Stegostoma tigrinum: one gene and its partners. The protein of the gene in region 1 interacts with the protein of each later gene in a biochemical or structural test. Links are inferred from orthologs where the notes say so. Each region holds a gene or a part of one and is shown on either strand. Other genes may lie near its edges. The genes, in order: cryabb, cs and beta-crystallin A1.

Region 1 (3,754 bases):
GCCCCTACTCCAACTGTGCAACTTAACACAAATTTAGAATTTTGATACTTCTCGAAGACAAGCAATCTTATGGTCTATTTGAGTGAGACTGCAATTGTTTCCAAATATTCATTGTTGCATTTGGAAATAAACCAGAAAACCAAAAAAACTCAAACCTACATCCTACATGTAATATTTAATCTTAAAGCAACTGGCTACTGGCATTGACAATATCGTTTGTAGAAGAGTCCGGTATAAGAACAAAGAACAAAGAAAATTACAGCACAGGAACAGGCCCTTCGGCCCTCCAAGCCTGCGCCGATCAAGATCCTCTGTCTAACCTGTCATCTATTTTCTAAGGGTCTGTGTCCCTTTGCTCCCTGCCCATCCATGTACCTGTCCAAATATATCTTAAAAGACACAATCATGTCTGCGTCTACCACCTCCGCTAGCAACACGTTCCAGGCACCCACTACCCTCTGTGTAAAGAACTTTCCGCGCATATCTCCCTTAAACTTTCCTCCTCTCACTTTGAACTCATGACCCCTAGTAATTGAGTCCCCCACTCTGGGAAAAAGCTTCTTGCTACCACCCTGTCTATACCCCTCATGATTTTGTAGACCTCAGTCAGGTCCCCCCTCAATCTCTGTCTTTCTAATGTAAATAATCCTAAATTACTCAACCTCTCTTCATAGCTAGCACCCTCCATACCAGGCAACATCCTGGTGAACCTCCTCTGCACCCTCTCCAAAGCATCCACATCCTTTTGGTAATGTATGAGTAAGGTTATCATAAATAAAGAGATAAGAAGGTATAGGGAATAGGTGGAAATGTGGAGCAATGAGATCACCCGGGATCTTATTAGCTGGCAGAGCAGCATGAGGAACCAAGTGGCTGACTCATGCTGCTAATCCACATATTTGTATCAGTAAGCATCTCACTTTGTTCCAAAGCTCAATCACAGGTATGTGCCCAATCAGCATCACAGGACATTGACTGCTTTAACAATTACCAACTTGTTAATTTAAGTTATTTAAATTTGAGCTAATTTTTACTATTAATATTTGTATCCTCTTTTTGGAGGATGGAGAAAGTGGGGTACTTTGTAGTTACTTTGGGTTTTGCTGACCAAATACAAGACTGGATAAGGCAACATAGTGATTCATATTTTATTAGCTAAAGCAGAGTTCAAACCTTGATCAATAAATATTTATATTTTAATTAGCTTATTCAAACATGTTAGGATACACCTCTATGACAAGTAGGACTTAAACCCAGACTTTCTGACCCAATGGGAGGAGACTATCAAACTGCCACAAGATACTAAATTATTTTCAATGAAGCTGTACTGATGTATGATGATATACCCTCAGAATGGATAGGACGTGAGCCCTGGTGTAGGGATATTACCTTTGTGCACAAGAACCCCTCACCTTAGTCCTATATGTTACTTTGGAAGACTTATCATGTACCAGTGAATCATATTTATTTGTAGCATTTCCTTTGGTTCTTTTCAGGTTACCAGCAATCAGAGATTTTCTTACTCTTGCTTTCTGGGGAATTAATGTGTTCAGATACAGAAAATTAAGCCTAAGCCTTTGGTCCTCATAACGTGCCTTGAGGTTACAGGGAAAAATCAATATTCCATTAACTTTCCTTTATTTCAATTTGCAGATGGTAACAGAGCTTACTGTTCCAGCTTCGGATTTATTTGTCAAAAAAACTTATTATTTACCATTAATTGCACTAATTAAGTGTATTAATTAGTTATATATTTATGTGTATACAGATTCAATGTAAGAGCTTAAGAAATAGGTGCGGGACAAGTCCAGTCAACATTTCCAGCCTCCAGAGATCCTCAAGGTTATCTTCACTTTCCTAAAAGGCCCCATCCCCCCATTCACAAACACCCATCCTATCATGTCCTTTCATTCCATCAACTTGGTCTTGAATATAGTCTACAACTACTCATCCATAGCCTTCTCAGATGGAAATTTCCAAAGGTCCACAAACCTCTTAGCAAAGAAAGTTCTTCAGAGCTCAGTTTGAAATGGCTGTCCCCTTATTCTGATATTATGTCCCCCCTTTCCTCATTATCATATAGAGATACATATATGTTTATTTTCTTCCACTCTATCATATAGATAAACATGTTTATTTATCTTCCACTTCATCATACAGACCTATGTGTTTGTTACCTTCCTCTTTATTTTATATATATACACACATAGAACAATTAGGCACATTCGTTATTGTTATGAGGCAGGCAACACATCCACAAAGATTGATTCGAGTGGTGAAATTCAAATGTTAAACAAATATTTTAGGAAAATGCCACAACTTTAAGGATACTTTGCACCGAACATACCTCTGATAGTCCAGATTGTACCCAGCTTGGCATCCTGAACAATGATGATGGCATTCGCCAGTAGAAGGGGAAGAAGTCAGGATCGAGGTTTTCCCCAAAATGCTGGTCATAGATACGGGAGGGGAAGAGGAAATTTGGCATGAGGGAGCGCCGTAGCCATGGAGTCTGAACTGCAATGTCCATCTTCACTTTCCTCTAAAATTAGCAGGATGTGTATCAGTGTGGTTGTGCTGTCTTCAGTCCAGGGGCTGGTTGAAGGCCAGTTGGTGTCTCAGTCCTTTATATACACAATGACGCCGAACGTGTTGAACTTTCTGGAAAACTGATGAAAGGCTGATTGACTCTGTCATGTGATTTCATTGTTTAGGGATTTATGTTTTAGGGGGGAGGATTAGAACTGACACAAGCAGTGGACCAGTCTCTGCGTTGCTGGATAAAGCTCTGCTGATCACTCTTTTCCTCTGCTGGCACTGCTTCAGAATGCCACAGAAGATGACCTCATGGCATTTCAATAGGAGACCATTGTACTGAGAGGAATATTATGTTGTTTCGGGTTTTGTTTTAAAAAATGAATGATTAAAGATTTTATTTCCTTTTGTGTCTCTGTCTGATCGTTTATCTGAATGTTGAATTTAAACATTGAAGATGGCAAACAGAAGGATTGCAATTCAGAAATAGACTCCCAGTGATAAGCCTCTGATGTCAACTTTCTGGGTATGTGTAGTTTCTGGCAGTGACTGAATGCTTAACAGAGAATTATCTGGACAGAACTATTTCATTCTCTCGCCGTGTTTTATGTCTTCCAGAGTCTTTAAAAAGTAAGGAAGACTGTAAGTGAAATAATTATCTCATAGAATAATTGTCTCATTTCTCCATACTGAAAAAAAAACAAATTAACCAGAGCAAAATAGCTATTTCAGAAGATGCTGGATTCCTTATACGTCCTTCCAAAATTGCAATGTAAAGTTACTCCAGTACTTACTCTTATAATTGCCCTTAGTAAGGACCGAAGTCGCTAACAGCTGTAATATTAAAATGTGCACTACACTAAAATTAGTACAAATGACTATGTACTTGCAGATAGAATTATCCATCACAAAATAACTTTTAATGGCCAACTTTTAAAAATGTTTCGTTATATTTATTTTCATTGGGACATTCGAAGCATGGTTTTAAAGTTATTTTCTAAAAAGTTTTCTACAGAATTGACACTGCGCACATAGCTGGTCAGTGCAACGACGAGTCTGCCTCAACTTGGAAACCAGTGATAGATCGTTGTGATTTCACGTGGCTTGGAATGAAAGTAACACTTGGATGGTGCTTCTCTCTATGCAGCTGCCTCATGGTCATCCAGGAGAACTCCTTCTCTCGCTTTGTCCTTCCCACGGAAACAGACCCGAGTAACCT
Region 2 (3,754 bases), on another chromosome or scaffold:
CGAATAAAGGAAACCAGGCCTGTGTACACCCATCAGTAACACACACACACACCCCAAAAGCAAGCCTGACCATAGCCACCCCTCCTAAAGGGTGAGTGACAGCTCAATAACGGGCTGGTACTGGTTGGCATCACCCTTAGTACGTGGTAATGGAGTAGCCAGCGTGCAGAGAACCTTTACCAGCATCAGCTTCGTACCTCCTCTGGGTCCAGCACCGATGTTTCATACACCAACCCCTTCATTCCTCGCATGCCACCATATACCTGGGGAGATGGGGGGGGTTAATTAACACACACACATTTAAAATAGAAAACATCGGTAAGCAGGTACAATTCACAAACCAGGGAGCGCACGAGCGAGATGGGCACCCACCCACACGCTGGCACATTAGACGGCAGGGCTGATTAAAATGACAAGATGGGGGCAGGTAATCAGAAAACAGATCTCACAATGACACATATTAGAGTCTTACGGCACAGAAATAGACCCGCGCCAACCGTAATCCCAAACTGAACCAGTTCCACCTGCCTGCCTGTTCTTGGTCCATCACCTTCTAAACATTTCTTATTTTTATCCAAGCATTTTTTCAATATCATAACTGCACCCACATCCTCTGGAAGTTCATTCACACACGAAACCTGTCTTTTTTAAAATCTTCTCCCCTCACCTTCAAAACATGCCCGTGGTTTTGAACTCATCCACCCCATTCACCTTATCTATGCCGCTTGTGATTTCATATGTCAGCCATTAACCAGCAATGCTCCAGCCTCTGCTTATAAATCCAACCTTTCAGTCCCAGCAACATGCTCTTCTGAACCCACTTCAGCTCAATAATCATTGTAGAAAAGATGTTGTTAAGTGAAATAATTAATTTAGACAGCATAAATAATGTTGAGAATATTAGAAACATGAGACAGGTGTAGGAGCCTGTACCACCATTCAATGTGATCATGACTGACCACACAGCATCAGCATCCCTTTCCTGTTTCCTCTCCATATCCCGCAATCCCTTTAGCCTCAGGGCCACACCCAGCTCCCTCTTGCATATACCTTACAAACTGGCCGCCACAGCTTTCTGTGGGAATGAATTCCACAGGATCACAACTCTGACTGAATAAACTTTTCCTCATCTCAGTCAATATTAATAACACGCTGCCCTTTAAACGTGGAGCAGGAGCTCAGGGGATAGATTTTCCAAAGCGACGTGACGCATGTGCCCCAGAATGCTCTTGGGGAAAGACCCTTTGGTTAGAGGCCGAGGCAAGTCTCAAATCCATACCCCACCCCCCCGACACCAACACAGACACACTACCAAAGCACCCCCCCAGCTATAGTCCTGACAACCTGAGAGACGCAGCGTCAGGCTTTGAAGATGCCGAGAACACCCGCTCTCTCAGGGAAACAGAAAGGGAATGGGCGTGGGAAACGATAGCTCAGCCTCTGCCTACCAAACGATTGCTCCACCTCAGCCCCGGGCCTGACCCCTATCCCCGTTACTCACAAACAGGAAACGGAGCACACAAATCCATACCATGTCAACATTGATTTGCCCGATAACTGTCTTGCCATACTGCTTTTTGAAAGCTCGGATCCTTGACTGCTCCTTGGGGATGATCTCTGCAAGAATTTCCTTCAAATTCTACAGGAGAGCAAAAGCATCCGTTAGACGTATTGCACAACGCGGGGTGTGCGCGTGGTCGGTGGAGGGGAAAGCGATGTGGACAGTCTTGGTGAAACTGCGCCCTCGAGCAAGCAGCAAGGCAGCTCCACGGCCACCCAGGTCATACCATGAGATGTCACCTGCTCCTCAACTCAGGCCCCAACATACAGGGAGGGCGGAGGTTAGCGCTCATTTCGAGAGGGGGAGAATATAACAGGGGGCGGAGCAGGTGGGAGGAGGGAGCGGGTAGGAAGGCAGAGGAGGGAGGAAGGGAGCAAGGAAGCAGTGCGGTTGGGCATTAGCAGTATGAAACAGAAGGAATGATGTGCAAAAAGACAGGGTGGTGTGGATGTGTGTGTGTGTGTGTTGGGGTGGAGGGGAATGAGCAGTTGGGAACAGAAAAAGAAAAAGAGGGGAGGTGTGGATGTGGGGCGACAGAGAGAGGGGGCAGCGGAGGACAGAAGGAATAAAGAGGAATGGGGGTGGGAGTGATAGTGGGACAATGACAGGTTACTTCGGCCCATGAGGTGGTTGAGCTGGCAGCTGAAGAGCACAAACCTCAGAGGAGGTTTACCAGGATGCTGCCTGGACTGGAGGGCTTATCTTATGAAGAGAGGTTGACTGAGCTCGGTCTCTTTTCATTGGAGAAAAGGAGGAGGAGAGGGGACCTAATTGAGGTATACAAGATAATGAGAGGCATAGATAGAGTTGATAGCCAGAGACTATTTCCCAGGGCAGAAATGGCTAGCACGAGGGGTCATAGTTTTAAGCTGGTTGGTGGAAAGTATAGAGGGGATGTCAGAGGCAGGTTCTTTACGCAGAGAGTTGTGAGAGCATGGAATGCGTTGCCAGCAGCAGTTGTGGAAGCAAGGTCATTGGGGTCATTTAAGAGACTGCTGGACGTGTATATGGTCACAGAAATTTGAGGGTGCATACATGAGGATCAATGGTCGGCACAACATTGTGGGCTGAAGGGCCTGTTCTGTGCTGTACTGTTCTATGTTCTATGTTCTAAACTTCGGGCAATCTGGGCAGGCCCCCACCTCCCCGCTTGGAAACGGGCCCAGACGGAGGGTCGCTGCAGAAGATGTTGACCACTCACCGTTTTGGTACTTGTATTCCGTGCAGCAAATACGACACATGCAGTGTTCTGTAAAACAAAAGAGAGAGAGAGAGAGAGAGACAGAGACAGATGAGCCTTTGCTTAAATTCATTCAGTATTGACGTCAACATGGAAAGCAAGTTCACACAAGTAGGGTGCTTGAACTAAACTCCTTCGGGTTGTGGCAAGCTCCAAAGATTGGTAAACCATCCCAGGGAAGGAACACCAAGTCCCAATCGAAGTGAGCTGAAGCACAAGTTGGAGCATGTATCTACGTGAGCAAGTGTCTATCTGAGTGTCTCTCACCAATTTGCAGTTGCCTGTACAGTGATGGAGTCATTGACTCACACAGAAACAGAGCCTACAGCCCAACTTGTCCATGCCGACCAAGTTTCCCAAACTAAACTGGTCCCACTTGCCTGCATTTGGCCCATGTCCCTCTATTCACGTACCTGTCCGAATATCTTTGGAATGTTGCAACTGTACCTGCATCTACGGCTTCCTCTGGCAGTTCATTCCACATATGTCCAACTCTTCAGTGTGAAAAAGTTGCCCCACAGGTCCCTTTTAAATCTTTCTCCTCTCACTTAAAAATATGCCCCTTGGTTTGAACTCCATTACCCTGGGTAAAAGACCTTTGTTGTTCACTTTACCTCTGCCCCTCACGATTTTATAAACCTCGACAAGGTCACCTCCTACACTGCAGGGGACAAAGTCCTTTTCAGTCCAGCCTCTCTCTAGAGCTCAAACCACCCAGTCCTGGCAACATCTGAACCCCTCTCCAGTTTAATAATATCCTTCCTGTAACAGGGCGACCAGAACTGGACACAGATGCTCCAGAAGAGGCCTCACCAATGTCTCTGTACGACCTCAACGTGACGTCCCCAGCTCCTATATTCAAAGTGTGCCAAAGACATTCTTAACCACCCTGTGTACCTTGATGCAAACTTCAAAGAACTGTGTACCTGAACCCCTGGGCGTCTCTGTTCAAG
Region 3 (3,754 bases), on another chromosome or scaffold:
GCCACCCGAAGGTTGCAGGAACAGCAACTCATATTCCGCCTGGGAAACCTGCAGCCCAATGGTATCAATGTGGACTTCACCAGTTTCAAAATCTCCCCTTCCCCTACTGCATCCCTAAACCAGCCCAGTTCGTCTCCTCCCCCCACTGCACCACACAACCAGCCCAGCTCTTCCCCCCCACCCACTGCATCCCAAAACCAGTCCAACCTGTCTCTGCCTCCCTAACTGGTTCTTCCTCTCACCCATCCCTTCCTCCCCCCCCAAGCCGCACCCACAGCGACCTACTAACCTCATCCCACCTCCTTGACCTGTCCGTCTTCCCTGGACTGACCTATCCCCTCCCTACCTCCCCACCTATACTCTCTCCACCTATCTTCTTTACTCTCCATCTTCGGTCCGCCTCCCCCTCTCTCCCTATTTATTCCAGTTCCCTCTCCCCACCCCCCTCTCTGATGAAGGGTCTAGGCCCGAAACGTCAGCTTTTGTGCTCCTGAGATGCTGCTTGGCCTGCTGTATTCATCCAGCCTCACATTTTATTATCTTGAGAGTCATACTAGCCCAGTCTGAAAACATTACCCAACTGAGCCCTGAAGCAGTACAGCTGAGTCCGGCCCATTGATGTGTGTCAGTAATTATATCAACTATAAATACAATACGCCTCGGTTTTCTTGATCGTTTACTTCCATCCACCACATTGTGCAATTCAACAGATATCCATCCATCAAACTGGCTACATGCCAGATTCTCAAAGTATCCTCTGGTTGCACCTATTTGAAAATGGGAGGAAATCTCAACATTGTTTCTGTCTTGCTGAAAATGTGGCTCTAAAGTTATTTTTCTGGTCTTTTAATTATAATTTTTGAATAATCATGAGAAAAGAAGAACCACACTGAGCGCTAATACATATTTTATGGATTAATGCATACTTTTGGCAGAGTATAAATCACATTAAAAATTGCACAACTTCTCCAACTGGAACTTCTGAACCTATTAACTTCAAAGTGCTTAACTGATAATTCAATTAATTCAAATATCCTGGTGTGGATTTACATTGCCTTGGGACCCAATTGTTTCAATGTTTTATGTCCATTTTAAGTTTGGACATATTCTAATGAGATTGGAAGAATGGTTGGAGATAACCTGACATTGACAAAATGGACACACGTGTACAATTTTACAGGTGTACGTTCTAACTTGTACCTAAGGATAAAATTCTAGGCTATACTGTCCTGAGAATAGATTACGTGATAGGCCAGCATTAAATCACTCAACTCTTTAACAAACGAAAACAGAAATTGCTGGAAAAACTCAGCAGGTCTAGCAGTGACCCTTAATCTTGAGTTAAAATGTTTATCTCTGTTTTGTCTCCACAGATACCACCAGACCTGCTGAGCTTCTCCAGCTGTTTCTATTTTTGTTTGTTTCAGATGTCCAGCATCCACAGTTCTTCGTTTTATTTAACAGAGCTCATTTATGTTTCCTTTGCAGAAGGAAAGTCAGCTTTAGACCTTATGACATGCACATACCATGATGAGATATACACCCATTCATGCATATGTGTGTTACATAAAGTAGTTTGGAAAGATTAGTACGGAAAATAAATAAAAGTTAAGGGAAAAATTGAATTTTGGGATCCCTGACATTCATGAGTACCCCACAATAAGACTGACTGAGGCTATATTGTAACCTGATCATTGCAAAATAGCATGAACACCAGCTCAAGGACCTGTTACTTCCACTCTGCCCCCACCCCTAGATTTACAATGTTGCTGTTATGTGAAAACTACTTCAGAACAAAAATAGAGATGTAATTGAACCCTCAGTTAATTGATACTAATTTTAGATCAGTAATACATGAAGCAATCTAATTCTCCATAGTATCAGTGTCTAAATTCACCAAATTCTCTTCAGAAAGTGAACAACAATAACACTGCTATGTAAATATGTGTGTAAAGGTAAAAACAAAATACATTTCCGTAAACTGATGATTATGATTTGCAAATCACAATGAATTTTAAAATCTCCATGATTCCATTTCAAGTAAGACTGATAAAATTGCTTGAGAATGTGTTTGACAGTAACGGTTAGGGCTGTGTTATTTTGTTGCAAAAATATGTAAAGGCCGTTGACTCACGCTCCACAATCAACTTTGATGGATCGAATATTGTCAAATCCACAGTCCATTATATTCTTGCAGGATGCAGTGAATTCCATCCTCTTGCCTTGGAAATTTTCTTGATCATAAGCAGTAATCTGCAATAAGATGATTACTGTTACTCATTTCATGAAATTCTGTGAAAAGGAGCTTTAAGCAAAAGCTAATGTTTCAATTCTGACTAAATATTTAAGAACAAAAACTGCACCTTGAAAACTCCTGCAGGGTTTATTTGCGCCATGCTTATAGCTTGGTGTTTCTTGTCCTGAAAGAAAAAGTCAAATGGCATTATTTTTCTTCACAAGGCAATGGCTTGGAGAAAGGTATCAATATTTGATGCAATAAAATCCTGGCTAATTCTGGTGTAATGTTCTACTATATCTGGCTAAATTGATGCTGTAGAGTAAATTACAAAGCAGGGATAAACAAATTGAGACAAAACAAAGGAATTTGAAGTTAAAATAAAATAAAAACAAGAAAAACCCAACTTACCAGAGCCGAACTGTTTGGGGTAGGTTCCAAAAATGATTGAGTTGAGTTTCATCGCTCCTATTTATAGTCAAACATTGAATAGAAAGTGAGAAGTGAGCGAGTCAGATTTGTGGTCCAGTGAGCAGCAGATATGAATGCCAACATCTCATTGTTTGTGGCTGATCCCATGGATTTCAGTTTCAACCCTATGCTGGGGCTGGGGCAGGAGCAGAAAGATTAAAATCTGCATATCTGAATAATGCATGAATAACTTTTAGATAAAAATGTATTTAAAAATGTTAAATATATTTTGTTAACAGAAAATTACTCAGAACACAACGGGGTTGATTTGAGCACTGACTTTGAAATCATACCATGGGAGGCTAGCTAATTATCGCTAATATTTGTTGGAAAATCTATTAATGAGTTACTGTTGCTGGTAAAATGGAGGTCAGATGCATAACTAACAAATATGGCTTAGCTTTTGACTGTTATCCCATGGGTTATATACTTTAAAAAGATGTACCACTTAAATAATTAGGTGCTTGGATTTTAATTGAATAGCTAAGGCAGTTCCTAGATACAATTATATATACTTAGAATATTCACATGCATAGAGTCTTATCCTTGGCCAATATGTTCTGAGAGTATAGACAAGCAACTCACGCTAGTCATTTGTTTAAAATCCCAGGTAATTAAGAGTTATAAAAGGTGTAAAATTTGGATGTTCAACTTCTCAATCACCGAGTTATCAGGGTTTTTAAAATTTAAATACTGCAATTTTTATAAGCATTGATCAGCTATCAAAATGCTATCAGCAGTTTCAATACTTCAAACACAAAGTTTCAATTAAAGTAGACAGTAATGGGCTAAATTTTGTGGTAAATATTGTAGTGAGACTATCAACATTCCCTGTTACTAAACTGGAGAGCAATTTCCAGCAGTTTCACATGCAGTTAAATACGGAAATCAGGAGGTTGCTGTCTGAACTGTCTTCATCTTCCTGTGAAGCTGGATGAACACAGCAGGCCAAGCAGCATCTCAGGAGCACAAAAGATGACGTTTCGGGCCTAGACCCTTCATCAGAGAGCAAGGGTCGAGGCCCGAAACGTCAGCTTTTGTGCTCCT

What was found.
Region 2: the proteins of cryabb (region 1) and cs form a complex in vitro, tested with the Homo sapiens proteins (3 studies listed by BioGRID). The link is inferred for Stegostoma tigrinum from reciprocal best matches to the Homo sapiens genes CRYAB and CS.
Region 3: the proteins of cryabb (region 1) and beta-crystallin A1 form a complex in vitro, tested with the Homo sapiens proteins (2 studies listed by BioGRID and IntAct, with this or other methods). The link is inferred for Stegostoma tigrinum from reciprocal best matches to the Homo sapiens genes CRYAB and CRYBA1.

The regions. Positions count from the first base shown.
Region 1 is NC_081385.1:12,617,364-12,621,117, forward strand, and holds the start of cryabb (crystallin, alpha B, b), read right to left. Parts: upstream 2,746-3,754; 5' UTR 2,531-2,745; coding exon 2,348-2,530; intron 1-2,347. UniProt on the Homo sapiens protein: May contribute to the transparency and refractive index of the lens. Has chaperone-like activity, preventing aggregation of various proteins under a wide range of stress conditions.
Region 2 is NW_026728211.1:118,297-122,050, forward strand, and holds the start of cs (citrate synthase, mitochondrial), read right to left. Parts: upstream 2,852-3,754; 5' UTR 2,763-2,851; intron 1,640-2,762; 5' UTR 1,535-1,639; coding exon 1,532-1,534; intron 264-1,531; coding exon 198-263; intron 1-197. UniProt on the Homo sapiens protein: Key enzyme of the Krebs tricarboxylic acid cycle which catalyzes the synthesis of citrate from acetyl coenzyme A and oxaloacetate.
Region 3 is NC_081380.1:29,961,294-29,965,047, reverse strand, and holds the start of beta-crystallin A1, read right to left. Parts: upstream 2,703-3,754; 5' UTR 2,648-2,702; intron 2,421-2,647; 5' UTR 2,397-2,420; coding exon 2,364-2,396; intron 2,254-2,363; coding exon 2,135-2,253; intron 1-2,134. UniProt on the Homo sapiens protein: Crystallins are the dominant structural components of the vertebrate eye lens.